Caenorhabditis elegans: one gene and its partners. The protein of the gene in region 1 purifies or fractionates together with the protein of each later gene. This does not show direct contact. Each region holds a gene or a part of one and is shown on either strand. Other genes may lie near its edges.

Evidence for each region.
Region 2: the proteins of immt-1 (region 1) and nduf-5 fractionate together in Caenorhabditis elegans (co-fractionation; one large-scale study listed by BioGRID). This does not show direct contact.
Region 3: the proteins of immt-1 (region 1) and gas-1 fractionate together in Caenorhabditis elegans (co-fractionation; one large-scale study listed by BioGRID). This does not show direct contact.
Region 4: the proteins of immt-1 (region 1) and nuo-6 fractionate together in Caenorhabditis elegans (co-fractionation; one large-scale study listed by BioGRID). This does not show direct contact.

What each region holds. Positions count from the first base shown.
Region 1 is NC_003284.9:2,681,324-2,690,796, forward strand, and holds immt-1 (MICOS complex subunit MIC60-1), read right to left. Parts: upstream 5,862-9,473; 5' UTR 5,835-5,861; coding exon 5,817-5,834; exon of another isoform or gene 5,753-5,816; coding exon 5,664-5,752; intron 5,618-5,663; coding exon 5,450-5,617; intron 5,398-5,449; coding exon 5,189-5,397; intron 5,144-5,188; coding exon 4,896-5,143; intron 4,428-4,895; coding exon 4,308-4,427; intron 4,258-4,307; coding exon 4,144-4,257; intron 3,715-4,143; coding exon 3,490-3,714; intron 3,423-3,489; coding exon 3,039-3,422; intron 2,953-3,038; coding exon 2,686-2,952; intron 2,003-2,685; coding exon 1,805-2,002; 3' UTR 1,431-1,804; downstream 1-1,430. Other genes in the region: ser-7 (G-protein coupled receptors family 1 profile domain-containing protein), read left to right, coding at 483-521, 785-824; T14G11.1 (Membrane-associated protein), read left to right, coding at 7,670-7,765, 7,814-7,946, 8,717-8,977, 9,024-9,183, 9,230-9,352.
Region 2 is NC_003279.8:2,999,931-3,006,376, forward strand, and holds nduf-5 (NADH dehydrogenase [ubiquinone] iron-sulfur protein 5), read right to left. Parts: upstream 2,918-6,446; 5' UTR 2,908-2,917; coding exon 2,674-2,907; intron 1,666-2,673; coding exon 1,534-1,665; 3' UTR 1,430-1,533; downstream 1-1,429. Other genes in the region: dnj-28 (J domain-containing protein), read left to right, coding at 885-1,336; Y54E10BL.3 (CcoQ/FixQ family Cbb3-type cytochrome c oxidase assembly chaperone), read left to right, coding at 4,255-4,282, 4,333-4,416, 5,604-5,671; Dual specificity mitogen-activated protein kinase kinase mek-2, read right to left, coding at 6,099-6,273.
Region 3 is NC_003284.9:15,584,556-15,593,119, forward strand, and holds gas-1 (putative NADH dehydrogenase [ubiquinone] iron-sulfur protein 2, mitochondrial), read right to left. Parts: upstream 5,843-8,564; 5' UTR 5,837-5,842; coding exon 5,696-5,836; intron 5,645-5,695; coding exon 5,511-5,644; intron 5,458-5,510; coding exon 5,283-5,457; intron 5,063-5,282; coding exon 4,840-5,062; intron 4,792-4,839; coding exon 4,146-4,791; intron 3,816-4,145; exon of another isoform or gene 3,756-3,815; intron 2,594-3,755; coding exon 2,464-2,593; 3' UTR 2,231-2,463; downstream 1-2,230. Other genes in the region: K09A9.6 (Aspartyl/asparaginy/proline hydroxylase domain-containing protein), read left to right, coding at 91-287, 339-576, 896-1,396, 1,442-1,624, 2,086-2,193; usp-33 (Ubiquitin carboxyl-terminal hydrolase), read left to right, coding at 6,814-6,987, 7,068-7,268, 7,631-7,726, 7,825-7,891, 7,935-8,035, 8,083-8,211, 8,261-8,545.
Region 4 is NC_003279.8:7,064,689-7,070,984, forward strand, and holds nuo-6 (NADH dehydrogenase [ubiquinone] 1 beta subcomplex subunit 4), read right to left. Parts: upstream 4,499-6,296; 5' UTR 4,488-4,498; coding exon 4,388-4,487; intron 4,314-4,387; coding exon 4,244-4,313; intron 3,897-4,243; coding exon 3,548-3,896; 3' UTR 3,428-3,547; downstream 1-3,427. Other genes in the region: cutl-6 (ZP domain-containing protein), read left to right, coding at 575-671, 1,628-1,815, 1,865-2,010, 2,398-2,785, 2,836-2,925, 2,996-3,211; tofu-5 (Twenty One u-rna (21U-RNA) biogenesis Fouled Up), read left to right, coding at 4,754-4,855, 4,904-5,058, 5,108-5,333, 5,381-5,558, 5,624-5,898; W01A8.6 (Peptidase M14 domain-containing protein), read right to left, coding at 6,068-6,246.

The DNA of each region.
Region 1 (9,473 bases):
CTCCAGATTCTAAGAACATGTGCAAAGTGCAGAAACCATCCTAAAACTTATTGAAACATTTGTCATTTTTCTGAAATTTTTATACAGTAAAGAGCAATTTTCAATCATTCTTGTATACCTATCCAAAAACTGCAAACGTGAATTTTTAAAAATTAGTTTTATCACAGCAGAACGCACCATACACCCTGTTTTTTTGAAATTATTATTCAAGTTCACTATGATATTTGGTCATTTTGGAACCATCAAACTGGCGCAACTCCACTTTTAAAAGTCTCCCGTGTTAATAAGGAATGTGGGTGGGATGGTCTTTCTTACAAGCTGTTTGGGTTGAATTTCCATCAGAATTATGTTTGAAACCTAGAAAAACACCATCCGTGCCACTTTTCACAATCACACCACAACAGTCTATTGATAGAGAATCCGCGTCAAACGGCCAAACACAACACCAGGTTATTAATTTCTTTGACTCTGCGCGTTTACAGTCGCTACCGAACCCAATCTTCCAGCTATCGACCGCTTCTGTGAGTATAACCCTACTTATCCATATATCTCAACTGTTATATACTACATCACGTTTTTAACTTTTCTTTCTTCTATTCGAGTGTTACCTTTTTCTTCTTTTTAAAAGCATGGAGTTTGCGATTTTATGCGATTTTTTCTCAGTGTTGGTTTGCGATTTGCTTCCAAACATTCAACGTTTTGCATGAGTTTTACTTCTAAAGTGAAATGATTTTGATTCTTTGCACGTGACACTGTTTCAAAATTGTACGTATGATATTTTCAGATCTCGACGCAATGACAGTCACGAAGCAAGTGACGTCTAGCACACTACACATTATGTACCATTTCATAATTTATTAACTATTTTTTTCTCATCTGATTTATTCTCATTTTCAATTTGTCGGTACACAAGTAAGGTTACGTGACTTTCCTCTCCCGTTGTATAATGCTTCTCATGCTTTCTAGCATTGCAATTATGTGCATTTCAGAAGGTGTGTGACACCTATTGCCTCAACTTTGTATAAAGTTTTATAACTTCTGAATAAATGTATTGGACAGTATAACAACCTATAATTTTGGAAGTCCATCAAAACAGAAAATGTTGGTTACATATTGTTTTGAAAAGTATAGCAATTCGCCAAAACTTTGACTAGAAAAAAAATTGTTTCGGCAGTTTGAAATTACGACAAAAATGTAATTTTTTTTGTAAAATCGCAACTACATAGACGGATAAATTGTTCAAATTTGAAATTTTATTTTTTTTAAACCTCAAAAATTTTTTTGGATATCATTTAAAATATCTCATTAGTAAATTCGGTCTTTTGGATCAATTTGTTAACCACCCGATGTCTAAAAATTGTATAAAAACAAATGAATTTCCTTTTGACACCATAAGTGTGACTTTTAACAATTTCCCCAACTGCCGCAACTGCACTTCTAGAGATTCTTTATTTGTTTGTCTCAAACTTCTACAAATCATACTTATTTCTGGTAAAAAATTGTAAAATTTTCACATTTATTCAATACATCGACGGTTCGAAAAACTACACAAACTTGGAAAAAATTGACGGCGAGAGTTTGGAAAAAAAAACGGGGAGAAAATGTGCACACACCCATCTACTATAAACTACCAACAAGAAATTGGTTTCTAAAAGACACACACACAATACTACTAGCAGCAAAACGTTTTTAAAACATTTGGATCGTTTTAAATAGGGTGAGAAATAGAGAAAAATAAAATGAGTGTAGTGAAAACCAGTAGAACACAATTTTAAAAAACGGTGACGCAAGACAATCAATTGTTCTAATAAGTTGAGCGAATCGAGGAGACGGCGGCGTGAGCCACAAGAAGCTGGGCGAGAAGGCGAGACTCGAGGTAGGAGCGGGTGTCGACGATCCAGTCACGAGCAAGATGAGCTGGCTGACCCTTCAAAAGTTGAACAACGCGAATCGCCTTATCGAGATCACCATTGTGTACGTACTGCTTGGCGCGGGAAAGGATCTGAACAAAAATGTTTCACTAGTCTTACAAAACGTTTGAATTCTAATTTTAAAAAAACTTGATATTTTTTGTACGGACATCGTACGGGACTGGGAAGCTCTCGGAATAAAGAACAAGCATTTTAATAAAAATTATGAGATAAGAATTTTGATTTTTTTGATCGGAATAAGAATGTTGCCATTCGAATCAAATTTATTTTTCACAACGGGGTCATATTTATAGAGACCCGAGTTATGAAGACAAAAGCCCGATTTTTACAAACCTGACAGTTTTTAAACGTGGGTTCATTACGTTACTTAAAGCTGACATATTTTTAATGATATTTAACATGACTACTAATCAACCACGAAGTCATACGAGCGTATCTCACAATCTGGAGTATTCTTATAAAAGTACGGAATTTCTGCCGGATTCTAAAAAAAAAACAGTGGAAAACGCCAAAAGTGATCTGCTAATCTGCTGCCAAAAATCCAACCTCAAAATTTCTAAGAGTCAGGAGCAACGTGGATGGAAATATTTTTAAATTTTTTAAATGGAATCATGACCAGATTTTTATGGAATATGTGAGCTATACAATTTTATGTATCATGTTCAATCACCTAGGGGTTGCAGAGCAGAGTTGTTTACGTATCCGCATAATTATGACCCACTCTAATGTATTCTGTACTCAAATCTATCCTCACCTCATAGTTATCAGTGTTGTTCACATCAATAGCATCTAAATTTCCATACTGTTGTGGCATATCCACGAGGAACAGGGATTTGACGTACGACCAGAAATAGGCTCCTAAGGTTCCTCCGTTCTCATCGATAGAAGCAGTCTTGCGACCAATCTTGTACAGTTGCTCGAAGCGGTTTTTGAGATCCTGCTCAGTGTATGTGCCAACTGTGGTCGCTTGTTTTGGGAACGAGTCGATGATGGCGTTGACAAACTCGTCTTCTGGATTGACCTGAAAACGATAAATTCAGATTAAAATGAAAATGTAGAATAGTAACAAAATGTAAAAAAGTTGATTTCGTTGACAAACTCGCTAACCTCCTTGAGAAGATTCAAAGACTCGTTCAATGGAAGTCTTCTCTCATCAATGTTGTTTCCGGCCTTGTTACCATGTTTCAAAGTGTCAATCAAATTATGGCACGCAATCCAGAACTGCTTGGCGCGACGGTTTTCGTTGTCAAGAGCAACTCGGCTTCCGAGAGCCTCTTCGATTCCCTCCAGTCGGCTCAACGCAGCACCAACTTGCTTGCTGTGAAGATTGCGCTCTTGCAAAACTGCCTCCTCTACCTTCTGATTCTGTTCAATCTCGAAGAGTTGTCTCTGAGTCCGGATGACTTGCTCCAAGTGCTCAGAGTGAGCCGAGGCGGTGCGCTTCAATTGATTCTCCAGCTCACCTTCCCATGATGAACGGCTTTCCACAAGCTGAAATCAAAAAGTGGAATATTTGAGGAAAAACAACTTTTAACCCCAAATTTGATAACAAACTTACAGCTCGTTCGATTTCCAACTCATTCTGACGGCCAACACGGCTCATCTCAATGCTCAATTTTTCAGACGCGATCCGCTCATCGGCAAGTCGCTGCTCTTCAAGAGCCTTTGAGATGTGCAGTTCCTCGCGAACTTGCTGATCCGAAAGCTGACAACGAAGCTGGTCAACTTTGAGATGAGCGTGAGCGATCAATGCATTCAGTTCGTCTTCGTTGAGATTTTTGTCCTGAAAATGAATTTATGTGAACTTTCAAATTTGTATTTTAGGAAACAATGTCAAAAAGGCTTTTCGTTTAGTCAAAAATTTTAAACGTTTGATATTCGACTTTCAATTTGTGAAAAATAACAGAAGCCTTTCCTATCAAATCCTCAGCTGAAATATCTTCCTGAATCAGTCAGCATCTATAAAAAATTGTAAAAATTGTGATCTCAAATATATTTGTACTGTAACTATTTGTACTAAAGGTATGTTGTATTCTTCTGACTTTACCGAGAGTACATATCAACTATAAATATAATTTTTGCTTTTGACTACAAAAATTTCATAAATGCACCTTAGCAAAATCATAGGCTCATTTGAGCCTATTACAGAAATTCATTATTTTATAAAAAACCGAGGATGGACTCCATTCCTTCTATTTTTTTCGTCACTCACTTTAGCGTGAATATCAACATTTGGCAAGATGCTCTTCATCTCAAGAGCAAACTGTTGACGAGACTTCTCAATCAAATCCTTGTACTGATTGAGGACTGCAGATTCTTGACGAGACTGAAAACAATTTTGACAATTTTTGGTAAAAGTGCCAATGCATGTAATACCTTGTTGACCAATGCGTTGATCTCATCAAGCTGATGAGAAAGCTTATTAGCAGTCTCTTGAGCATTCAGAAGTAGCGGATTTGTGGCGGTAGTTGAATCTCGCTTTCCATCGTTCACAATCTGTAAATGTCCGAATTGAGAAAAATAAATAGTTATTATTAAAAATTTGCATTTAATCAAATATTAAACAAGCGTCTCTATTTTCAGTTGCATTTAATTCCTTTTCGTAAATGAGCTTGGAAGAGGTCCTTTTTACAAATTTTGAAAAAAAAACAGGGTCGAAGTATTGCAACAAGACAAAAATCATAGGACCTGTCACATAATAACTTGTGTAGCAGTTCAAAAACAGGCACTAGATAGCCGAACTTCCGCAGACCGGACGACAGATTTAGTCCGGTTTAGTCAAGTCCTAGTTTCCAATGGTCTAACGACTCTGGGTATTTTATTATGAAGGTGTAAGACCAAAATGTGCTCATTAAAAGAATTTCGCAATGAAGTTTCTCAAAAAATTTAAAAATTTTGTGTCATTGCGGTTCAAAATTTCAAACATAAATTTTTTTTTGGGTGTTAGGCTGTACCAAAAGATACCTTGCGAAGGTTATCAATGTAGTTTCTCCCGTCCACCTCTTGGCCACTGTCGACGCGTGCCTCAGCTTCGGCTCTTTGAAGAGCAGAAGTGACGTTTTCCCAGTTGGCGTGCTTAGCATCATCGACGGTTTGCTTGAGAATACTGGCATGCTCATTGATCGCATTGATGGTCTTCAGCTTGGCCTCAGTGGCTAAACGCACTTTTCCTTCAGCAGAGTGAATTGCGATTTTAAGCTTCTCCTCAAGTTCTGTAACTTTAAACTGTTATGAAAATTACGCTTAAAAAATCTTACGTTGGTTCTTGGCAAAGACGACATCTGGAGAAGGTTTTGGGATCATTGGGGTCACATCTTTGCGAACATCCACTGGGTCAACATGTGTGGGCTCTCTTGGAAGGACAGGCGGCAGTGGCGCGAGCTCCAATGGAGGAAGAACTTCCTTCTTTTTTGGGACAGCGTTCACTACAGCATCCTTGAGGTCACCGATCTGTTGTTTTGTCTTCCTGAAAAAGGATTATCGTTAAGACTGTCACTTTTTTAGTAAATAAAGCTTACTGCAAGCTAGATTCTCCCAAAACTGCGTCGAAAACTTGTTTCACTGGCGGAACAGTGGATTCGACTTTGTGACGGAACTCAGGGTCGACATACGCGTATCCGACAACACCACCAGCTCCAACAACGGTTGCTCCGACAAGAGCCAATCCTTTGCCACCTCCGGATTTTCTGAAATACGACGCGTTTTTATTATCGATTTTGGTGTATGTTTTACTTTGGTGGTTGAACTGGTGGCTTCGGTGGAGCAGCGGCTTGATTTGATTGTTGACGGGCTCTTTTCAACGTCTGGCTGACTGATCGCTTCTGAAATGAAAAAATTATACATTTAAACTAAAAATTGCATTTTTTTAATGAAAAAAAAACTCACCGATGCAATACGAAACATTTCCGCGACGAGCAGCGAATAATTTACCTAAAAAGTAATAAATTTTACAACGAAATTTTATATAAATCAAGAAAAAATCAAAATAATCAAGAGAGTGCAATCGAAAAAGAAATAAACATATTGTTTAGTGTTCGAAGATTAAGTTGCGCGTCATGCACGAGAAACGCGCCAGCAATCGATGTCTGTGTATCTTTTGTAAGTGCGTACGGGACGACGGGAAGAATGGCTGTGTGGGGAGGCATTGGAAGAGTGTGGCAGGGAAACAAAGGGAAATTGCCGATGCATTAAACGTTTGGGACATTTTGAACGCATAAACCCAAAATGAGCTCAAATAAACGAATTTTATAATGAAACTTCATTAAAAATTTTCAAAAAGTAGTTTTTGCCGGTTGAAAATTTCGAAAAAAAAACGTATTTCAAGTGAAATCTCCAATTTCGGCCATTTTTCCGTATCGCACACCTGGTCCATAAAAATTTTCCAACACTTTTAAAAGTGATTATTTAATCAAAACGCGGAATTTGGTTGTATTTTTAAGCTTAAAAAAACTTTAGTCCTAAGCCTAATATCGACAAAAAGGGTAACGTTAATTTTTCAGAATTGTAAACACTACAGAAGTACCGTAATTTTGTTAATTAAAATACATTTAAAACCGATAGGAAAAAATTATAGTATTAAAATAGCAGCTTTGGATTACTACGACTTGGAAAAGTGGCCAAATTTAAAGATATTTGAAGTGCCATAAACGTCCTAAAATTTTATGCAACATGAATTTTTACTGTTCTGTGTAACTTTTCAATTTAGAAATCAACATTTGTACGCAAAAAAGTGCAGCAAAAGTGCAGCATATAGTACCAGATATTTCCTTAAACTTCAGAAAAATGTTTGCTTTATTTGAAAACATCTTTAATATAATTCATAAAAATAAAAATAAAAAACTGCTTAGAAATTGTCTCTAATTTAATAAGAGCCGGAAAAATATCCCACAAATTATGGAAAATAATTTCCGGCAATTTTCAACTTGCATACTATTTTTGAGCATTTTTACAGTTGTTTCATATTAAATAAAACATTACTTTTAGATTAAAAAAAAAGTGTTTTTCTATATTTTATTTTTAACATTTAATAAAATATATCACTTTTTGCTCATTTTGGCTCATTTTGTAGATTTGCCGAAATTGCCGCGCACCCCTGATATGTACACTTTACCGGAAATTTTTAAAAATTGATAATGCACTAAAAAAATAGTAGAAACCATTAGAAACCAGTGTACAATTGATAAATGGTGTTTGTATCTGGGCATTTCATGTTGAAAAAAAATCGCCAAGGTCATTTGTTTGGTTAGGCCAGTGTACTTGAAATTGGTAGTGTTAGAACTTATATTTTATTTTTAAAATAATTGATTTTCAATTTCTTTTTTCATTTTTCTTCCAATTAACTCTTTCCATTCAAATAGAATTTTGAAATATACAAATTCTCAGTCACCATACACAACTTATTAAAGCGCAAGAATTTTAACATGCCCAGCAATGCTTAAGAGACGCAGAGTATATTCACCGTAGTTTGAAGCGAGGGTCTCGAAGCGATGTGGCAGTGAGAGTGGGGCTGCCTTTTCCTCGGGTTTGCACCCTCTCATCCGCCGCTATTGATTCTCTTTCTTTTCTCAATTTCCCTCGGGCTCGATGGGCTCGCTGCTTCTTTTCATTTTCGTGTTTTTTTTTCGTCAGCAGGCACATTGAATAAATATTCCGAGGCAGGGTCACAGAAAATTCTATGTCAACTTTTCTTTACTTTCTTATTTAACTCTTACTTTGTCCCATTTAGACGTTTCCAGAAAATGTTTTTCTCCAAGCTTGGATCATTATGCACTAGGATGGATTTTCGTGATGCCAATATTCCAGCCGCCTCTTTCCACACCGTTGCAGCTATTCTGGTAAGCTTTTGCACATGACTTCAATAATAGTATTCTCCAATATTTCAGGCAATTTTCGCAATGATGTCTACAGACTGGATTCTCATTGAAGATATGAGCACAAAAAACGGCACAACCGACATCGACGCTTTGCAGGTGGCTCAACTTTACATGAAGAACACAGAACCCTGTCATGCAATTGGTAAGTCTTGTTTAGCATTGCAAAAAAATAAATTGTGTAGAAGCTGAGAGCAGATGACTGTGCAAACTTTTCAAAAAACCATTTTCTTGTAATGACTTTTACATTAAAACTGAATCAAAAGCTGGTAATACAATATTGACAAAACGGAATGCGATGTTAAAATCAACACGATTAACAGTATCTTGAAAGTGAAATGATACTTCAAATTTAAACTTAATCAAAAACATTTGAAATTTTTTAAAGATGGGGTATCATAGTGAAAATGTTCTTTAGAAAAATCAAAATTGTATATGATTTTTTTTTGAAAATTGGAAAAATCTAAATTTTTGCCACTTTTTGGAAGTCGTCGATCAAAAAAAATTATTTATGGTCTATTTAAGTTTTAAATTTCAAAGGTGGAGTAGCACCAGTGTGGATTTTGTTTAAGTATACTTATGATGATTTAAAACGACCGATTAAATAATAAAACACTCCAAACAAAGTTAAGCACAGTGTTGGCAAATTGCTAAGCTTTTGGAAAAATATGAAATTTCAAAGAAATGCAGAGCAATGTCGCATGTTAGAATGTTTCAATAGATATAATTAATACAAAATAAAAGTGTGAAAGTCGTAGAAAATACATATTTTTGGTCAACTTCCAAAATTATGAGTGACGAAAATTTGTCAAAATTTTTTAAAAATCGTGTTACTTTTATTTGTGGACATTTTGACACCATACTGGCTCTACTCCACATTTAAATCAAAGATTGAATGAAACATTTGATTTGCAGGATGTCACAATTTTTGGGAAGCCGTCCGATTTGGAGGATATGTCGATGCTGCTGGAAACTCTCATGTGGCATTTCATACACCGACCCGAGTTCTCGTTGACTGCATAACACCATCAACAGCAAACTATTTCTACATTCTCATAGCTCTTTGTTTTGTAATTTCTGCAACATCATCTCTTTGTGCCACCATGAGCCTTCTCCCTCCACCAGCTCCATTTCTCGCGTGGCTCCGCAGTAATTCCATTTTGGAAATGTCCAATAGTATGGCGATGGGCTCTTTTCAAACAATTTCCATTAACTTTTTCAGTGATGCTTACTCTTTGCTGCTGCACAATTGCCATCATTGCGCAAACCGACATTTCCGACCAACGCGAAGACGACATCGTTGCCATTGGCGCTGGAGTTTTCCTCGTGTGCATTTCTGGTCTTTTGTCCTTTCTTGCAGCAATGGCTAGCATTCGTCACAGGTGAATTTTTGTATTCTTTTAAATTTTAAGTGTTTCATATTTTCAGCAATCGCAAAACTCGAATGCGCAGAATTGACAACCAGCGTCTTCTTTGTGCACGCTCACTACGCTCATGGAGGGATGCAGGGCGCCGTTCGGAGGACGTTTGTCCGATCGTTGATTTTGAGAGGTTTGTTATGTTTGAACAAATAACAAATTTCGAATTGGAAGTTGAAACAGTTGACACTTTGGTAGAGCCAAGCAGGTGTTTCTGATAACTGATAAACTTTTCAACAAGACTTTTGCAAGCT
Region 2 (6,446 bases), on another chromosome or scaffold:
TGAGAAAAAAATCTGCGCCGCGCAGAAAAATGGGCGGGGCGTAATTTTGCAACCTTCTGTGCGGGGCAGGTTTTCGCAAGCCGCCGCACGTTTTTTCCTCATTTTCAACAGAAATTTTCAACGAAATTCAATGAAAATCGGATTTTTCATTCGGAAAATCAATAAAAGGAGGAAAAACCGTGCCGCGGGGTTGCAAAAATAAGCCCCGCCCCTTTTTCTGTGCGGCGCAGGTTTTCGCAAGCCTCCGCGCGTTATTTCCTCGTTTTAACAGAAAATTTTGACGAAATTCAGAATTTTTCATTGAAAAAAATCAATAAAAAGGAGGAAAAACCGTGCCGCAGGATTGCAAAAATAAGCCCCGCCTCTTTTTCTGTGCGGCGCAGGTTTTCGCAAGCCTCCGCGCGTTATTTCCTCGTTTTAACAGAAAATTTTGACGAAATTCAGAATTTTCCATTGAAAAAAATCAATAAAAAGGAGGAAAAACCGGTGCGACACGGTTGCAAAAATAAGCTCCGCCTCTTTTTCTGTGCGGCGCAGGTTTTCGCAAGCCTCCGCACGCTATTTCTTCGTTTTAACAGAAAATTTTGACGAAATTCAGAATTTCTCATTGAAAAAAATCAATAAAAAGGAGGAAAAACCGGTGCGACACGGTTGCAAAAATAAGCTCCGCCTATTTTTCTGTGCGGCGCAGGTTTTCGCAAGCCTCCGCACGCTATTTCTTCGTTTTAACAGAAAATTTTGACGAAATTCAGAATTTCTCATTGAAAAAAATCAATAAAAAGGAGGAAAAACCGTGCCGCAGGATTGCAAAAATAAGCCCCGCCTCTTTTTCTGTGCGGCGCTGCTTTTCACGGATTTATCGATCATCAAAATCTAATTTCCAGCAATCGCTGACTACGAAAAAGCCGAAGAATGGGATTCATCAAACGACGCCGTCCGAACTGGAAAAGATCAAGCAAAGCGTGCAAAGGAACTCGTCGGAAAACGAGATTACTACAAAATTCTCGGAGTCCGCCGGAACGCCAATAAACGAGAAATCACAAAAGCCTATCGAAAAATGGCTCAAAAATGGCATCCGGACAACTTTCAGGATGAGAAGGAGAAGAAGAAAGCTGAGAAGAAGTTTATCGATATTGCCGCGGCGAAGGAAGTTTTGAGCAATGAGGAGAAGCGGCGAGCTTTCGATAATGGACAAGATCCACTGGATTCGGAAGCAGGGAGGGGTGGAGGTGGAGGTGGAGGATCACACGGATTTCATAATTTCCACGGATTTAATCCATTCGGCGGTGGTGGTGGTGGCGGCCGTGGTGGCGGCGACTTTTTCTTCCATTTTTAATTTCATATTTCATTATAGATATAGATATTATTGTGTCATTGGATGTGTTACCCGGACTATTATTGATCTCTTAACTTGCTTCTTTTTTTTTTTATTATAAATCTTTTTATGTACTTAGAAAAGATTAAAAAGAAAAAAGAAATGAAAACTACAAAAAATAAGGCGATTTCTCTCGAAACTAAAGGCACTTCAAGTATCTAGTTGATACGATTCCACTGGAAGTGATCAGTCTTGAATTGTCCCGGTTCTGGATGATTGTCGACGTATGGCTTCGCGATTTTTCCGTCGAGGAACAGCTTGCAGCGTTGTTCACGGATGGCGTCAGCTCTCTGGAAAATTGTTTTTCGATTATTTTGGAATTTCATGTGATGTTTTTTAAAGGCGCACGGGTTTATTCAGATGGGTCTCGATGCGCAGAAAAAAGATTATGGTAGTTTTTTCTCTTTCAGGGCAAAAAAACTGGAGAACACACATTTAAATTTTTAGGAAAATCGAAAACCAAAAATATTCGATTTTATCAACAAAAAAAATCCAAAAGTTAAAAAACCAAATTTTTCAGAGTTTTCGATTTTTCTTTTCTTTAGAAATAGGAGAAAAATCGGAAAAATTGCATGAAAGAAGACGAGAAAATAAACTCAAAAATCAGAAAAATGAAGGAACATTTTTTTAAATTAGAATTTTAGAAATTTCCGGAAAATGAACGAATTTCGTAATGAAACTGCTCAAAAATTTTTAAAAAATTTTTATGGCGGTTCAAAATTTTGAAAAATAACACTGATTTTAGCTAAAATCACGAATTTTTCCCATTTTTCCGTGTCACATCTGTCCGTAGTTGGCTTTTTTGGAATTATCGTCCTTTATTACATATATTGGTAGTTTATCTCATTTAATTTCGTCGATTAAAGTACATTTAAAGCCGATAGGTAACCAAAAATCATCGAAATTGGTTACCTATCGGCTTTAAATGTTATTTGATCCACGAAATTAAATGAGATTAATTACCAATATATGTAATAAAGGACGATAATTCCAAAAAAAGCCAACTTCGAACAGATGTGACACGGAAAAATGGGCAAAATTCGAGATTTTAGCCAAAATCAGTGTAATTTTTTCAAAAGTTTGAACCGCCATAAAAAATTTTTGGAAATTTTTTGAAAAGTTTCATTACGAAATTCGTTCATTTGAGAACATTTTGGGTCTATACGTTCAAAATCGTCCGAACCGTTAGTCCTCCGTTAAAAGAATAAATTCAAGGGATCAAATTTATTTGGTTTTCACTAATTTTTTGTTTTTTAGTCCAATTTTTTTTCGCGACAGTTCTGTTCCGGATATCGAACCTTCTTCTGTTTATCCCCAGTGACACACTCCTGGAAGTCACGATGCTCGAGATCACAATACTTGCGTCCCATCTTTGCTCCGTAAGCCTCCATACAACGGTAGAATTGAGATTCAAAGAATCCGCAGATACGTCCCTGTTGGGAGAGTGGAACCGAAAGAGTATCGGTTATTGGAGCCTTTACGATTGGTGACAATGATGTGAAGTTCTCCGGATTACGGTTACCAGTTGCCATTGCGGATGTTCTGGAATTTTGGAATTTTATTATGAGTTGAGAAGCAAAATATCGATTTTTCGGTTTTTTTTTCAGAGATAATCAGAAAATGTTTTAGAAAAAAAAACTAAAATTTTAAAATCTGTGTTAATTTTTTTATGTCGATGAGGAAATGCATAAATAGGAAAAAAAACATTTTTCTCAAAAAAAAAGAAGAAAAATAGCTAAAATTTATAGACATGTTTCGAAAAAAAAAAATAATTTGTCTAAGTATCGGAAAATCGAAAAAAGAAACACACTAATATTACGGAAACGCAAAATTCTGAGTGACCCGCAAAATATCTCGTAGCGAAAACTACAGTAATTCTTTAAATGAATACGGTAGCGTCGATTTACGGGATATCGATTTTTTTTAAAGAAAATTAATTTTAATATTCAATCGTTAAATTAATTAATTTCAAAAATCGAGATCCCGTAAATCGACACAACCGCTACAGTAGTTATTTAAAGAATTACTGTAGTTTTCGCTACGAGATATTTTGCGCGTCAAATGTGTTGTGCAATACGCATTTTTAGAATTGTGTTCCCGTAATAATTTCAGAATTACCCAAAAAATCCTAAAATTAAATACTGTTTGGATAAAAAGGCACGCTACAAGATCAAAAAAGCCATGAAATGTAATTTTTGTTGAATAAATTTCGAAAAAATGCCTCGAGAGAAGAAAAATCATGAATAATCTCAAACTATCACGCAAAAAAAAGGAAAAATGGTGAAAAATCCCAGATTTTGGAAAAATTTCAAAAAAAAATTCCCAAAAAACTAGATAAAACCAATAAAATATTCTTCTAGAAAATTGCTTTTTTTTCAAAAATTCAACAAAAATTTTTTTTTTGCAAAACCTATTCGCAATTTAAGCTATTTTTCCTATTTTCGGTGGATCCCAGCAAAATTTCAGCAAAATTCCATCCATCTACTAATTTTTCCGCAAAAAATCGCCAAATTTTCCAAATCTTTGTATTCAAAAATTGTTGAAAGTGGATTCCAAGTTCAAAAAAATTTCGTCAATTTATTTTTTTTATTCATACTAACTTTTCTTCAGGAAAATCGGCTAATTTTCCGAATCTTTGCTACTAAAAAATTGTTGAAAATCCACAAAAGTCTTTTCCTCTTTCTCCCAGTTTATTCATTTTATTATCCGAGCTTCTCCCCCCCCCCCCTCTCTCGTCTTTTTCACATCTTTTTCGTAACGGAGGTCTCCTTTTCCGTTTTCTTCAACGCTTTTCGCAGCACACAAAAATCGATATCAAGCGCAGTAGTGTGTGCTCTTTCTCTCTCGGAGCAAGAAGGCAACTTGGGGCTCTGTCAAACATGGACGCCGTCTATAATCTCGTTGAATGTGAGTTAAATATATTAAATTAATTTCAACCGATTTTCATGAATTTTCAGCTGTTCACGTTTTTATTCCTGTCGTCGCGCTTCTCGTCTTTCTCACAGTTATTTATATTAATTCGAAAACTCCTGATGAGCCGGGTGAGTCAGCTTTTTGAATTTTGTGAGAAAAATATCGATTGACCCAGGCGTGTGCGGAAATTGCCGGAATTTTTCATTTTCGGCAAATTGCCTATTTGCCGGATATCGATATGACGGAAATTTGTAGAGCGATTTTTTTAAAACGGAAACACTCCAAATTGTGCCTTTTTAAAATTTTTTCCCATTTTTCGTTAGATATTTTCATAGAATTTTTAATTTTTTAAAATAGATGTAAGAACATTCATTGGATGCCTTTTTTAAAAATTTCTTTGCCTATTTAAATTGAAATTCTTCAAAAGTTCCAAAAAAATGTGCAAGGCCACAATTTGCCGGAAATTGTCGATTCCGGCAATTTGCCGATTTGCCGGAAAAATAATTTTTGGCCATCTTTTGCCAATTCCTTCTGTATTTAACATTAAAAATACTCGATATATATCTTTTTTTTTTAGATTTTCAGGTAAAAATCGATGATGTTTTTTTTTCTATGAGAATTTTTAGTTAGTTAAAAAATTTTCGATTTCCGGAAATTGATTTTTCGAGAAATATGTCAAAGTTTTGGTCATTTTTTTTTAAAATAAAATTATGTTAGATTTTTCTCATGAATATAAACAACATAATTTTCCAATTATTTTCGGGAAAATATAAAAACTAATTTTTTTTTCGATATTTCCAAAAAAACAAATCTATTTTTCGAGAAATCTCTCAAAATGTTGGTAATTTTTCGTTTTTTTTTGTTTTTTGAAAAAAATTGCAGGGTTTCCTATGCTTTTTCTCATCAATATTAGCTTTGCTCCGAGAAAATCCGAAATTTTATTTTTTATTTTTGAAAAAAAATTCGTTTTTTTTTCGAGGCATTTTCAAAATTTCGATAATTTTTTGCCTTTTTTAATGAAAAAATTTTTTTTTTCCTCAAAAAACAATTTTTTTTTTCGATCATCTCTGAAAAAAAACCGAGTTTCTCAACGAAACCCTTAGTTATAATAAAAAATAAAAGAAAAATGCAAATTCGGGAGCTTCAACCGACTATAAAAACCAACGAAAAAAAACTTAAAAATTCAAAAATCAAATCAAAATACTTTAATCTTAATCAGAAGCGGGACAGAAATGTGGAGGGAAAAATGGGGAAAAATCTACAAAGTAAATGAAAAATAGTCTAAACTAAAGAAAAAAAAGAGGAATACTTTCAGATACGGCGCTGAAGAAAGCGACTCAAAAAATGACACCGAAGGAGCCGAATGCAAAGAAATCGGATTGATCTCTCGAGATGGCAATTGAGAAATTGAAGAAATGCTCAAAAAACTGTGGAAAATAGAAAAAAAATCAAATATATCTTAAAATTTTGGCCATTTTTCTTTTTGTTTCTCATCAACATACACAAAATTTAATTTACAAAATTAAATTTTATGATCAATTTTTCGATTTTCCTTTTAAAAAATCGGCTATGTTTTTCGCCAAATCTGCCTAAAAATCACTTTTTTTAACAAATTTTTGGGCATTTTTCAATTTTTCCAACTCTAAAATAGTAGCTATTTTCTGATATAAGAATTATTTTTCTAAATATTTTCCATCACAAAATATCAATAAAAATATTGGCTCATTTCGTAGAATCACCCCCTGGAGCTGGAGCATCCTAGACAGTGAGAGACAAAGAGACATCGAAATATACAAAAATCCAAAATTAATTATGGATTCAACTTTGGTAGATTAATCGTTCCCTTCACAAAAACCGCGAATTCTCCCTGATCATCGTGATCTGCATATTGTGTGAAGAAGACGTCTGCGGTGAGAGATTTTAGGGTTGCTCGTTCACTTGGAAGTTTTCGAAGGCATTTCGACACAAATCCAATCACTTCGTCACTGGAAATTGAAAATTTTAAAAAAGTTAATAGATCATAATTATGTTCCTGATACCGAATATCAATTTGGAAAAATTCAAAAAAAATTTCCCTGATTTTATATTAATTTTTTAAATTCCGAAAATCCTCGGTTTAAATTCAAACGACAAAATTTGCATGATAACCGTGCCGCAG
Region 3 (8,564 bases), about 13 Mb from region 1:
CAAACTTTCTAATTAACAAATTAATGTTCGTTTTATTTATTTATTTTTTTTGCAACAAGATTGCAAAAACTATAAGCCCTTCTAATTCAGCACCAATATGAAGAAGCCATGGAACTTTTTGACCATGTCATCGCAGTCTATCCAGCATCAACTAGAGCATACTTTGGAAAAGCACGCGCTTATGATATAAGAGGAGAGATAGAAGCCGATGAAACAGATAGAGATAAAGCTATTGAGATTTACGAGAAGATTCTTCAAAACAGCGGTGTTCCGGATGCCCTTTTCAGGTGGATTGAACATTGAAAATCTAAACATAAGCAACATGGGGAACTTTTCAGACAAGCGGCTCAAAGACTCATTGAGAAAACTCGATTCCGGGGCCAACTGCATAAAACTCTCACGGCTCATCGCTATTTTATTGATAGATTCCCAGAAGAGCTCAACTTGCAAACCGATTTTGCGATTTCTTTCGTGATGATGAAAAGATATGAAGATGCAAGAACTGTGCTGAAAAATGTTTTAGCAAATGATCCGAACCACGTAATTGCATTGGCTTATTATGGATATATTTTGAAGGTGTGTTTTTATTCTATAAAGCTTAACTTGTACTTAAAAATGATCTTTAAATCAATTGAAACTAGGACTGGGATATGAGAAGTCCGGCGTACGGTTTTGAAGCTTTCAAAATGTTCCGAAGTGTAGAGTTTCACGGCGGCCGACAATTTCCGAGTTTAGCCACTCATTACAAAAATTATATGATTAAGTATAGTGAGTGGCGAAACTCGGAAATTGTCGGCCGCCGTGAAAACCTACCCCTCGGGAAATTTTCAAAGTTCTAAAAAACGGACGTCCGGACGCTCAAGATGCCGGCCCTAATTGAAACAACTTTTTCCAGGCACACGACGACAAAGTTGAACAAGGTGTTGCTCTAATGAGGAAAAGTTTAAAAAATGCTGACAATGAAATAACCGATCCGAAATTTTACTATCAACTCGGCCATGGTCTCACAACCCTCGGGCGTAAAAGTGAAGCTGACGCTGTTTACCAGAAGGCTGCACAAATGGGAGTTTTCATGACTGCCCAGCAGAGAAGCTTGTACAACATTGAAGGACTCACCGGCAGGGCTTGGTGGGCAATGGATCAGACTCCGTACTCCAAGTTTCTGAAGACAGTTGAACGGCAGTGGGCGACAATCAGACAGGAAGGCATGGAGGTTTTGAAGGATTGCAGCGATTGTTGGTTGGATCATAACCAACAGCTCGTCATCGATGGACAATGGAAGTTCTTCCCAATTATGTCCGAGCAAAATTTTATAAAATCTAGCTGCGAGAGAATGCCACAGACATGCTTAATCCTTCAAGAATTTGCAGCTTCCAGTAATGCCAGCAAGTCAGATGTATGTTCACCGAAAAAGATCATGATAACGTTTATTCATTTACAGATGCATTTGTCGGTGTTATCATCAGGTGCTTCTATTCTGCCACACTGTGGTCCTACGAACTATCACCTCCAAGCACATTTGGGTCTTGTCTCTCCATCTGAAGCAAGGATACGTGTTGGTAATGAGACAAAGGGATGGAGATCCGGGAAATTTATCATTTATGATGACAGTTTTGAACACGAGGTTGGTTCATTGGAATAGAGTTGGGGGCATCGTAAATGTATTGGCATACTTTTCAATGTCTAGCATTTCTTGAATCAATACTTTTTAGGGAGTCTAGGTACAAACTAGGGCTCCCAGCTGTGTGAGGCGCGAAATGCGGGCCTCACGCCGACGCCGCGCGCCGCTGTGTGTGTCAGTAAATCCAAAATGTGGTTATTTGGAAGCGGCCGACACGTTTGTGGTTCCGCGCCGCACTATACATGCGGCGTGAGCCCGGCGGAGGCACCGTTGCGGCGACCTCATGGAAGCCCTGGTACAAACTATTAATTTTGATATATCAATTGATAAGCACATAAAAACTCAATGCCCAAACAATTGGCAAATTTTCAATACTTTTCGAATTTCTAACTAGTAAGGCAACGATCTCAAAAGTTGAAAGCCGTCTTTAAATATTACCTTAAAGTTCATAGTTAAAATTTCAGCTCCAATTCGACGGTGCATCTTCATCATCCTTCCGACTTGTCCTCACCATTCAACTTTGGCACCCCGAAGTTCAACCTCATCAACGCGTGTTGTCATTCCTTTCATAATCTTGATCATAATGTTAGCTCTATTTTTATTGTTGTGAGTATTTTCTTAATAAAGCGTTTTTTCTTTGCGTCTTGGTTGCAGACTTATTTATTGAACATCCTGAACAACAGTGAACAGATACAAATCTACATTTTTGAATTTCAGAAAAAAACGAACTTTGAAAAGAAAAGAAAATAAACAGAACACATTTCGCGGTGCAAGGGATAAATAAAGAGTGAGTTGAGAATGTGCTATAGAGAATCCGTCTACGTGCCTAATGAGTTGAGTATTTATCGATCGACCTCTCCGAACACAATATCCATAGTTCCAATGACAGCGACAATGTCGGCGATAAGAGACATGTAGCACACATCGTGGATGGCCGCCAAGTGAGCAAACCCTGGAGCGCGGATGAAGCATCTGAAATGAGACAATTTAATGTTGAAAAAGCTTCTGTTTTGGACGCGTGTAAATCTGGTAAAACCGGACGAATTCGTCCGATTGCACAGCCCTAATTGTATGTATGTGAAATGACAAAAATTAATAATTGGAAATTTCCGTTCACTTACATTTTTCAGTAACCATTATTATATACAACTGTATTTTTAATTGTATAACGGTGTTATAATCTTTGCATCTTATTTTCAGACATTTAGTTCAAAATTTGAACAATATTTCTCTCTTCAAGTGCAAATCAATGCGGATCTGGGAGTCAGGTACACTGCCTGGCGATGCTCCCACTGGGTTATAATTTAAGCCACATCCTAGCCGGGGACTGTGGCCGATAATCCAGTGATGGATGAATGATGAGCTTCACTTCCCATTAGATGCTGGGCGAACCTAAGGCGTGAGGCGGAACTTGAACTTGTGACCTCCAGACTACTAGCGGCCACCACTACCAACTGAGCTATCCCGCCTAGTAACAATTCATAGAAATATCTTATTCAAATGTTAGGAATACGCTGTTCAAAGTTTTGTAATTGCATTCTAGATAACCAATAAAAAACTTGCAGTGTCTACTAGTATTGCACTGAAGCTTTGAACAAAGTATTTCATACACTTCCACTAAAATGACAATTTATTTAATACAGTGCAAAAAATGTGGTTAAATGTTGAAGCTGCACTTTTCCCATTTTATTTGAATAAAATTCCAAACTTTTTAATTGGTGAAAAATCTGTACCTTGGACTTTTGAGCTCTTGTTACTAGTGTATTTACCCACGATGTGGCTAAGAAGATTGTACAACGTGAGCTCTATAACTAACTGGTTTATTCCTTAGTTTAGTACTAATATAATAAACTTCTTGTCTTCTCCTCGTCGTTCCGCCTTCAGAACATAACAATTATCACTTTTAGGGCTGTTAAAAAGGACGAGTTAGGTTCTGCGCGTTTGGACATCCTCAAGTCTCACTGTTGAAATTGTGAAAAACACACACAGTGAGAATTGGGGACGTCCAAACGCGAAGGACGAGGACGCGTCCTGATCCTGCCGCCGAGGACGTCCTGCTGAAAAAGACATCCTCCCTAAAAGGCTAAATCATTTCCTATAGTCAAGTACTACAACTTTGCCAATCCAAAAATGTAATAGAGAAATTCCAATGGTTGTAATACTCGATTTTTTACAAACAATTAGAAGTCCCCTTACTTATAATAACTGAACAAAGGATTTAGCATTCAAAAGAATCGAACCCGCGAGATTGTGCACACTAACCAGCGACGCAACCACTTTGGCCACAGGGGTCGTTTACAGATCCGACCACTGTGGCATTCAAATCAGGGTGGAGGGTGGAGATGTCTGCGCGTGTGGTCCTAATTTGGTAATCACTTCATAATCAAGAATTAATAGTCAACCGGAGTCCCGCTGTCCCGTTTTTGTAAATTTAAAATTTTTTATATATAATATAAATTTTACGGGACATTGACACCCTTGGTTCAGACCACCGCATTCTTAACATTAAAAATGAAATAGTTACCTATATGGTTTTCCGGTTCCATCAGCAACAAGGTAAACTCCAAACTCTCCCTTTGGAGCCTCAATTGGGACATAAGTTGCTCCTGGTGGCACTTGGAATCCTTCGGTGAAGAACTTGAAATGATGAATAAGAGACTCCATGTTCTCCTTCATCTCGGCTCTCTTTGGTGGCACAACCTTGTGATCGTCGACCTTGATTTCTCCGGCTGGCATCTTGTTGAGGCACTGATGCACAATGTTCAACGACTGTCTCATCTCCTCAATACGGCACAAGTATCTGTCGTAGCAATCACCCTTGGTTCCGATTGGAACATCAAATTCCATATCAGCATAGGCATCGTATGGTTCGGTCTTTCTCACGTCTTGCTTGATTCCAGATCCACGGACCATGACTCCACTGAATCCCCAGTTGAGAGCATCAGCAGCTGACACAAGTCCGATGTCAATAGTTCTGGCCTTCCAGATTCGGTTTTCGGTGAGCATGTCTTCGAGCTCATCGATACGTTCTGGGAACTTGATGGCCCAGTCGTAGATGTCATCCATAAGACCAATTGGAAGATCCCAAGCGACACCTCCGGGGCGGACGTAGTTGGCATGCATTCTGGCACCAGATACTCGCTCGGAAAACTCAAAGAGCTTTTCACGTTCTGAAAATCAATGTTGGTTTTGTACTTATTTTGAAACAATAAACTTACCCTCGAACATCCAGAAAAACGGTGTCATAGCTCCAACGTCAAGGGCGTGAGTGGTGATACCCATGATGTGGTTCTGGATGCGAGTGAGCTCTCCCATGAGAGTTCTGATATATTTGGCTCTTGTTGGGATGTCAATACCGAGAAGCTTCTCAACAGCCAAAGACCAAGCCTGCTCATTGCACATCATGGAGACGTAATCGAGACGATCGAAGTATGGGAGAGCCTGCAAAGAAAACAGTTGGAAAAATTGATTGAATATTCGATTTGAGTGACAGAAAAAATGATTTGAAACGGATTTCATAGCTTTTGAAAACTAAAATTAGGCTAAACAAAAAATTATTATTTAGACACAATATTTGTCATTTTCAGTTCTAAACTTGGACCGAGTTGAAGATTTTACAAATTTTCAATTTATCATTTTCAATATCGTTTTAGAAACATACCTGAGTGTAGGTCTTGTGCTCAATGAGCTTTTCAGTGGCACGATGAAGGAGTCCAATATGTGGGATGGCCTTGATGATGACTTCTCCTTCCAGTTTCAACACGAGACGCAACACTCCGTGAGCGGCTGGATGCTGTGGTCCGAAGTTGAGAATCATGTTTTCCAGATTCTTCTCTCTGAAAAAAAAAACAAATTATTTTAATTTTCAAGTACTCGGTAAAATTTCTACCTCTGTTTTCCGCTGTAGTTATCACTCATAACTGGATCGGAATAGGCCAACTTTTCAAGCTTGTCAAGTCCGATCTTCTCGTCGAAATCCGAAACCCGCTCCGACATCCACAGCTTTCCGAGGGTACCTCCGGTCTGAAATATTGAAAATTGAGATGTCACTCGTAACCAACAAAAAAAATCAACCTTAAATTGACGCTCAAATTTAGCATCTGGATACCAGATTGTGTGGGAGTTTCGGGTTTGGGTGGCAGGAGTAGAAGACGTCGCCGCGACCGATGGAACGTTCGCTCGGAGACAAGTTCCGGCGATCTTTCTACCCAACATTGTTTCCTATAAAAATATTCGGTGAATAGTGAGCAATAAAAGTTGTGAAGTTAAAGCAACAAAGAGAAACGGAAAAATCGATAAAATCGCTGCCAAATTGCACATTGAACACAGAAAGATTGAACTTCAAAAACCCACCAATTCGCAACTTGATTTTCACAATTTTTTTCATGGAAACTAACAGTCAGTCGTATTTTTTCTTACACGATAAAGATAATATTAAAATTATTAAGAAAAAAGAAAGTAAATTCGCAAAAACAGTGTCGAAAATAGGTACCGAACGAAAATAAGACGACTGCTCGGTATTTAGCGCGTGGTGGAGTGTCGTTGTTTTCCTCGCGTAGCCTCACCTCTCTATTGATTTAGAAGATGTCTTGTTGCTTGGACAGTCGTTCGGAATTGTCATGCTCGGTGTTATTATTTATTTTTGTTTTCTAAGAAACTTTTTTTAAATTGAAAATTGTTTTATAATATAACGTTAATTTGGATTATTTTGTAAAAATTTTTAATAAACTCATTTTTCAATTTTTGATCAAATTGTAAATTTAACCTAATATTTTCGGTACGTGTGTTCCAACATTTTAAAAGTAAATTAGTAATTGTTTTTTTTCTCCACTTATCTAAAACGTGAGTAGTATTATCATGATTAGGTTTGGAAAAGATCGTTTCAAAAAAAAAACAAAATGAAGATCACGTTTAAAAGTTAAGAAATTAAATTTTCAAAATGTGGAGTTATAATACACAAGTTTCATATTTTTTTACACTTATTACCGAAATGACATCATTGTTTTTTTAAAGTACAGATTTTCGAATATACTATTAACTTATTAATTAAACTGATGATATGAAATACAACTTAACGTTTTTTTCTTTTTTGGTTTCAATATCATTTTTCGTTGTGGTCAATTGATACTAATGATGACTTTTTTTTAAATTTAACATGACTCTCATTTCAATTTTCTATATTTTTTTTCAGAATGGCGGATAGTGCAGGGCGTGATGACGACGGAATGAATTCGGATAGCAGTCAGCCATCACAGAACATCGAAAAAGAAGAGGGTATACTAGATGAGGAGTCGTCATCGTCTGAATCAGGAACGGGTACAGATACCGATAAGGATGATCTGGAAGAGAATAATAATCCGCGACCGGTAAGAATATTTCCAATGACTTTCTCAAACATTTAACATCACAATACCTGATTTTCCAAAAACCTCAAAAATAATTACAGATGCTTCCAAAACAAATGGAATCTCGCTGCAAACACGTCAAAGACATCAATCCATCAGACCTCAGCCAGCTTCTACAGAAGAAGTTAAAATGCATGACTTGCCATGATTCAGTCAGTTTCTCATGTGCTCATCAAGATTGTATTAATAGTTTGAAGTCAAGCTGTTGCAAAAATTCCGACCACCTTCTTCCTCATATGGCGGTACGTTTGTTCGCAAATTGACATCAAGTTTTGCTTACTTTTTTGAATTTTGATATAATTGCATTTTTACATAATATCCGTTAAATAGTAATCTACATATATTTATATAATTTGACAGACACATGCGATGAACTTTTTTCTAAACAGAAAACTGTGCAGAAGAAAAATAGGAACATAATCATTTTTATAAGTTAAGCATCATGTTTTAAGCTTGGTAGCAATTAGGTGTAGGGTTAAAAAATTTTTAATCTATCCGAAAATTGAAAAAAAAACACCAAATTGTTGTTAATTGATAAGTTAATGCTTCGATAAGCACAGATCAATCAACCTCAGCGCTCTCAAAATTATTCCAATTTTTTAAGGTTCACAATCATCCTCCAATATTATATCACGATCGGAAATCAATTCTATGTACACGTTGCATGGTCTACACTCCTGTCAAGCGGTTCCTCACACATGTAAGTAATCAAGTAGTAGAAAAAAAATGATATAGTATTGATGTGATAACGAAATTAGTAGGGGCACGCGTTTTTGTATCAATAATGTTATGTTTCAGACCAAGTTTTCAACGAGCGACAAAGTGGAGCAGGAAACAAGAAAAATGGAGCCTCTAGCTTTCAGAGGTTAGTGAAAACATTGTAAAATTTAATTTCTAAAAAGTTATAGGATTGCTCGGGTATCTCAATTTCGGGAACACTTGTTACATGAATGCGGTTCTACAACTTTTAGGACATTGCTCACCGTTCACACAGTATTTGATAGAGCTTGTAAGTATGAAGCCTAAATGTACAAAAACATATCCGGTTTATTTCAGATACCTCCAGGTGGCTGGTCAAACTGTTCACACGACATTCCAAAAACTGCAATTCAAATGGCACTTGATCTCCGAAATATGTATAGTGATTTTCCTCTACCTTACTTGAGTCCTTGGAAAATTATTACAGTGCGGTTTATATCGTTTTTATTCTTAATAAGTCCATTATTTTTTAAAGTGTGTTCGCAATGAGATGCCAGGATTTGAGTGTTTCCAGCAGCAAGATGCTAGTGAATTCATGCGAAACCTTCTTGATATTCTTGACAGAGATTTGAAAACATGCTCCGAGTATCACCGAACAAATACACTAATCGAAATGGGGAATCCTGAAATGGACTACGCAATAGCTATGAATGCTCCGCACACGAAAACTGCAATTTCAGCAATTTTCCAAGGAGTTTTAGAGAATCAAATTCAATGTCATTCATGCGGGTTTCGCTCACGGACCATTGAAAATTTTTTGGTGAGTAACTTCTCAAAAA
Region 4 (6,296 bases), on another chromosome or scaffold:
CTGAATGCAGGTGTTGTCTACATATTATTTCTCAAATCAAAATACTCTGTCATTTCTTACGAGCTTAACCAATTCACCTTTTGTATGGCAGCAGCAGGCGTCATACATTTCCATCTCAATTGACCTATTCTCGAGTCTCGGCTGTCCATGTAATTATCCATTTTCACCGTGAACCCTTCTGTCCATCGTATTTTTTTCCCATCGCTCCTCTCTTTCTCTTCATCTCCACAGTTTGACCTTTACACAGAAACTCTTTTTCCCGAATAATATGTAGTTCTTCTCGTAGTTTTCGGAAGAAGTACCGCCCGCCGCAAGGATTTCTCTTCGTTCCGTCCATCTTAAAAACACGAGCTTAATTGAGAAGCGATCATGTCTTCTTGTCCCGCCCGGGAACGTCATCATGCGTCCCGCCCGTATTCTGGTCGTACTAGTTACCACCTATGCTCCTCCCACATTTGTTTGGTTCCCCAGATGAAGTAGAAGAAGAGCATTTAATTTAGTTTTGAACGTGTGTCGTTACAACTACTTATTCTTGTACTTCCTCAAGATTTTTTTATTATTACAGACAGACACAATGCTTCTGAGGTTAGGATTTCTTTTGGTATGCTCAATGCTAGAGAAAGTGATAGGACAAACGAAAGTGGTCAACTATATTGATAACTCTATAATAGGTAAGTTCAATTTTCATTTTACTGAAATTTTTAAAGTTTTTTAAAATTGAACAGTTTATTCTAACTTGTGATTAATCTACTATTATCCAGAGGCAGAAAACTGCAGTTCACCAGATGAATTTTGTTTTGAATTCTAGAATATATAATATGTGATATTGATCTCTGATCACGGTTTTTGACTCGAAGCTTGCAAAATTATCACTTAAAAGACACTATGACCAGAGTAAATTTTATTAGCCGTTCACAAAAAAAATGGTCTCGGCACGACCGAAACGTCGAAGCTACAGTACCCGCAGTTTCCCAATTCATGTTGCAAACTTTAAACTTTTGGAAAAAATACGTAAAATATTTGGAAATAATGAGTAAACATTGTGGAAAATTGCTGCGGATAGATTCAAAGTTCCGATCGGTTCAAGACCGGGTACCGTATATTTCAAAAAATTCAATTTACAGCAAAACTAATCTGACATATGCAGACAAATTCTCAAAAAGCCGTATGAAATTCGTTAAAAATTTTTTTTGGTCTTACACATTTTAGAAAACAAAAGTTGTAACTTGCCTAGACCGATCTTACACCGGTTTTGTTGTTAAGAAAACATTAATCATTTTCTGCATCTTCAAAACGTGTATGCTACAGTAATATATCCTTTTTAAGCAAAAAATCCACAGGCAGATCAAATAGTTGCGACTACTGACCCCATTCCCTACACTTCGGCCTAAGTAGCGATAATTATATAGAGAGAAAGAGTTCAATGTTCTGAATACAAAAAAAATTATAAAGCGTGCGATAATCCATGTCTACAAGTTTGCAAGTCTCAAAGCAATTACAAGATAAATCCACTAAATCTAACCGCAAAAAAACGACCTTCAAGAACAACAAAAATGAGAATAATGAGGTGCGGAAGTGGTCGTGTAAAGCGTATTAAACAGAGCTCCCCTCTCATTTATTTCTACAGGTACACCCAAGGTAATATGCGCGGAAAATGATCTGGCACTCGACATTGTCACCTCCAAACCATTTCGTGGAAATATTTTTGTAAAGGGACGAGCGAAAGACAAGTCATGTCGACAAAGTTATGCGAACAATGGAACAAACTCATACTCATTGCCGCTTGGAAAATGTGGAATGCAACGGTTACGATCGGTAAATGGACCGAAAACGACAATTTTGTGAGATGTTTTTTTTTATTCAGGCAAATCCTCGAGGCGTCAATTTTATGGTCACAGTCATTGTATCATTCCATCCAGCTGGATTCATCACAAAAAATGATAGGGCATTCCATGTTAAATGTTTCTATATGGAACCAGATGAGATTGTTACTCAGAATATTGATGTTAGGTAGGTAATCGTTTATTTTAATATGCCTCATTTCAACTATTGCGTTCAATAATTATTTTTCAGTTTTTCATTTTGAGTGCAACACTGATAGGAACTGCAAGTTTAATTTTAAATCAGTAATATGTATTAAGAAAAAGATACTGAAGTTTTAACATTTTATTTCAATAATTTTACATTGAGATTCTATACTTTTCAGTGTTTAGTATTTGAGGGTGAAAAATCTTTGAACTCACCAGATAAGATTATCGGAAACTCTTAAATTTTTTTTTCAAGTCTATGTTCTTGCAAATTGCCAAATTGAACTTTTTGCGTATTTCGGAGCATTGATGATATTTGAATTTTCAAACACAAATAATTAAAAAAATAATCAAAAAAATTAATTTTCAGTATGATCCCAACGACTGAACTATCTGACAGTATGGTAATGCCAAAATGCGAGTATTCAGTTCGTCGTGATGGTCCAAATGGTCCAACTTTAACATATGCCAATGTCGGAGATATTGTATTTCATGTATGGGAATGTACACCGGCTGATATGGGAATGCTTGTCAAAAAGTGTTTTGTAACAGATGGAGACGGAGAAGATCATGCTGTTGTTGACTTTGATGGCTGTGCAACTGATCCATTCTTGCTCAGTGAGCTGTCTTACGATGCTTCACTTATGCGAGCTCATGCATCAAGTCAAGTTTTCAAATATGCAGACTCAAATCAATTATATTTCACTTGTCAGATAAGATTGTGTCAGAAACAAATGGGAATGTGCCAGGAAGTTACGGTAATAGAGTTCGAAGATTGTTGAAGCAAATACTTATTTTTGATTTTCAGCCACCAAACTGTGGAGTCAAGAAATTGCTGAGTGAAGCAAGTGGTGATGGAAATCGAACAAAAAGAGAAGCTGATCGGTCTGATTATGAGGTAATCATAGATTGTTTCCGGATTATATATTTTTTTAATCCTCCTAACATGAAAACAATAAAATATTTAGATCGACGTAGCAACATCAGAACTTCTTGTACTTGATCCAGCAGATCGTGGGCTCCTTGCTCCTTCTCCATTCTGTGTTCCACGACTACTTCTTCCAGTTCTTCCCCTTATTCTTATCACAATTGTATCATTAACAGTTGTCTCCACAGCACTAGTGATTCGAAGACAAAATCACAAAAAAGAGCTCGATATAATGCAGTCAGGCAGATATTATTGATTTTCACATTATTATATTATTTTATAAATTACACGTCCCGATTGTACGGTTTCAGCTCCCATTTTTCTCTTAAAAATTCCCTTGAACTCTCTCGAAAGTCAGGCACAAATTTCTCATTCTTTTTCTCTGTGATGTCTGTTCCACACATATTTTTACGGAATCTAATTCATCAGGCATCAATGTTATTTTATATAAATTTACGAGTGTTTACATTAATAAAATCTGAATTTTATTTGACGAGGATAACGACACAGCTAAAAAAAAACAAAAATCGAGAAAAAGTTGCTTACATTCGGATCTAAAAGTAAATTTAAGAAAACAGATAGATCGAGACGATTAGAAGTCGATTCCGATGGTTGGAGCAAAGAGACCGGATCCTCCGGTTTGTAGAGTTCTTCCTTGTTGACGATCCCACCAAAGAAGCTTTCCATCCAAACATGCTTCATTCGACTTGTCCATTGGGACAAACATAAGACGAGTGTAAATGTAGAAGAGAGCGAAAACGGTTCCGACGTACAGGAATACGGTGCGTGGTGTGAAACGGAAGAACTCGGCTTGAGTCATATCAGCAGAATACCAACGGAACATTGCTGGATCCATGGTGACTCCCTCCTTGTACTTGAAGCTATGAGGATCGTATTCACGACGGAGATATTCCTTCTTCAAAATCTCCTTGACACGATATCTGAAAGTAATTTTTTAAAAATAAAATGTAGTTTTTTTATCATAAAGTTGGATATTAAAAACTGAATTTATGTTAATTCAGTGTTTAATATCCAATTTTATCGCAACAGTTTTTTTAAAGCAATTTTTGATTTGATACTCTGTAAATTATATCAAGAAACTGTTTTTTTTTGTCTCTATTGCTAATAAATCACTTGAAATAAGTGTTCATCAACGCAAATGTTATCATATATTGATTTTTCAATAGAATTAAATAATTTTAAATTGAGAATATAATTAAAACTATGTTTCTCACTGTTTTTAGAATTTTTTTAAAAACTTTTAAGCAAAAAGCGTTTTTCGTATTACCTCCACAAAACTGCTTTCTTCTCCTCGTCGCTCAGATTGTATTCATGTCCTGGCAGAAATTCGGTCTTTCCTATACAGAACAATTATTATTTTACAAGTTAACAGTAAATTATGAAAAATAAATCGATAAAATAAAAGTTTTACCGTGAGTCTCAAAATATCCAAGCACTGGATCCTGCCACAGTTTCGGAGATTTAATATTTTGGTTGGCAGCTGGTCGAAGAAGTCTTAATGCCAACTTCATTTTGGTTCAACCTGGAATTAAAATATTAATAAACAAAATCGGAAAACAAGACGGAAATTAAGAAAAATAAAATAAAAAGTTCTGAACAACTGGTTCAAACGACACTCCGATATTTCGCAACAGCGCCTTGTTTATCGTAAATCTACATCACATTTCAAAGCGAAAGGAATTTTCCTCAATTCAATTTTCTTCAATTCTTTCCTAAATCGAGGCCATAATTATTTTTTTTCGCACATTAAACTTAACTTAAAACTCAAATTTTAGCCATGGAAACCGACGGCGATCCCACAAATGAAATTCCCGGTAGCTCTATGGCTTTTGAAGTCGCAAACCATACTGTAACCGAAGAACCATCACCACTGGACAGAGTCAGTTTTCTAATAAAATAAACTATTTAAAAATGTAAAATTTTGTAGATTCTCGCAGAAGGTCGCAGCTTCAATGGTGGCAATTGGTCCAGTGACGACTTGAGAAGTTTATTGGATGGAGTGATGAAGTATGGTACCAAAATTGAAGCCATAAACTATATTCACCGAAACATTGTAAAAAAACGATCTATCGAAGAGATAAAGTAAGTTTTTAAAATATATGTTCAACATTTAATCATTATTCTTTTTCAGGGCGAAAATTGACGAGATTCGAGAGATTATCAAGGAACACAAAGAGATTATTCTCCCTGAGTGTTACAAAAATAAATGGATCGAAGCAGGACATCATAATATCACTCCTCCACCATTTTGCCAAGTGGATCCAAATGACGACTGGAGCAGTATCATGGGAAAAATAGTCGATCATCATCATGGATCAATCAACAAGACCCTACCTTCTCTTAGAGATACTTATGAGGTTTTATATTTTATTAGTCAGCAATTGAAAAATGCTCAAATTTTCAGACACTCTTCGAGAATCTCGCTCTAGAATCTAAAACTCACGAAAATGCGGTGGTGACCAAACTTCTCACCGCAAAAGCTACAAGAACTGACTCTCAAAATATAAGATGGCCAGTCATTTACAGATTCATGAAAGCATGTGCCACATTGGAAGAGCAAATGCCAGCGCTCAATGAACTTGGTCAGTAAACCCAGAATAATTCTAACTCTGAGGGAACTTAACCAGCGCTACAGTTTTATTTTCAGAAGCGGCAGTTGTCTCCAAAGTACTAGACACTATCGAAACCGAAGCTACGACAACTCCAGATACTGAGAAATCTATTCTTGCCGGTATTTTCAGTGAATGTCAACAAGGCAATTACCGCTTCTGTGAGCAAGACTATCCTCCGAACGTTATGGCGGCAGTTCAACTGTTCGTGGATCCACTCCGTACCCGTTTTCATGCGATCCCTGAAGTTGCATCTGAAGTCGAATTAATCAACTTTACGAAGGACAACCAGCCATCTACATCGTCCAATTGAAATTTTTATTAATTTTTTGTTATATCCTGTCATATCATCCGGTCGTTTCACTGGTATTTAATACATTGTTATTAAGTTTATTGATTTCAAGTCTAACAAAGACAAAAATGGTAGAAACCCGCTTCTTGACAAGTTCGTCGTCGTCCAAAGACACGTGTTGATTTGTTTGTTATAGCTGTCTGAATCGAGGAGATCTACTGTCTGCTGATGTTCCGTTTGTAGTTGGTTCAGTCGGTTGAAAGTTCTTGGTTTCCTCAACTACCTGATCGAATATTACTTCAATTCCAAGCCATGTCTCTTTTCCAATTGGAATAAGCCAATGTGGTTTGACTTGGAATGCGAACCAAGCTGAAATTGAATGTTATTCTAGTTTTCATGGAAGATCTAAACGAATTCTT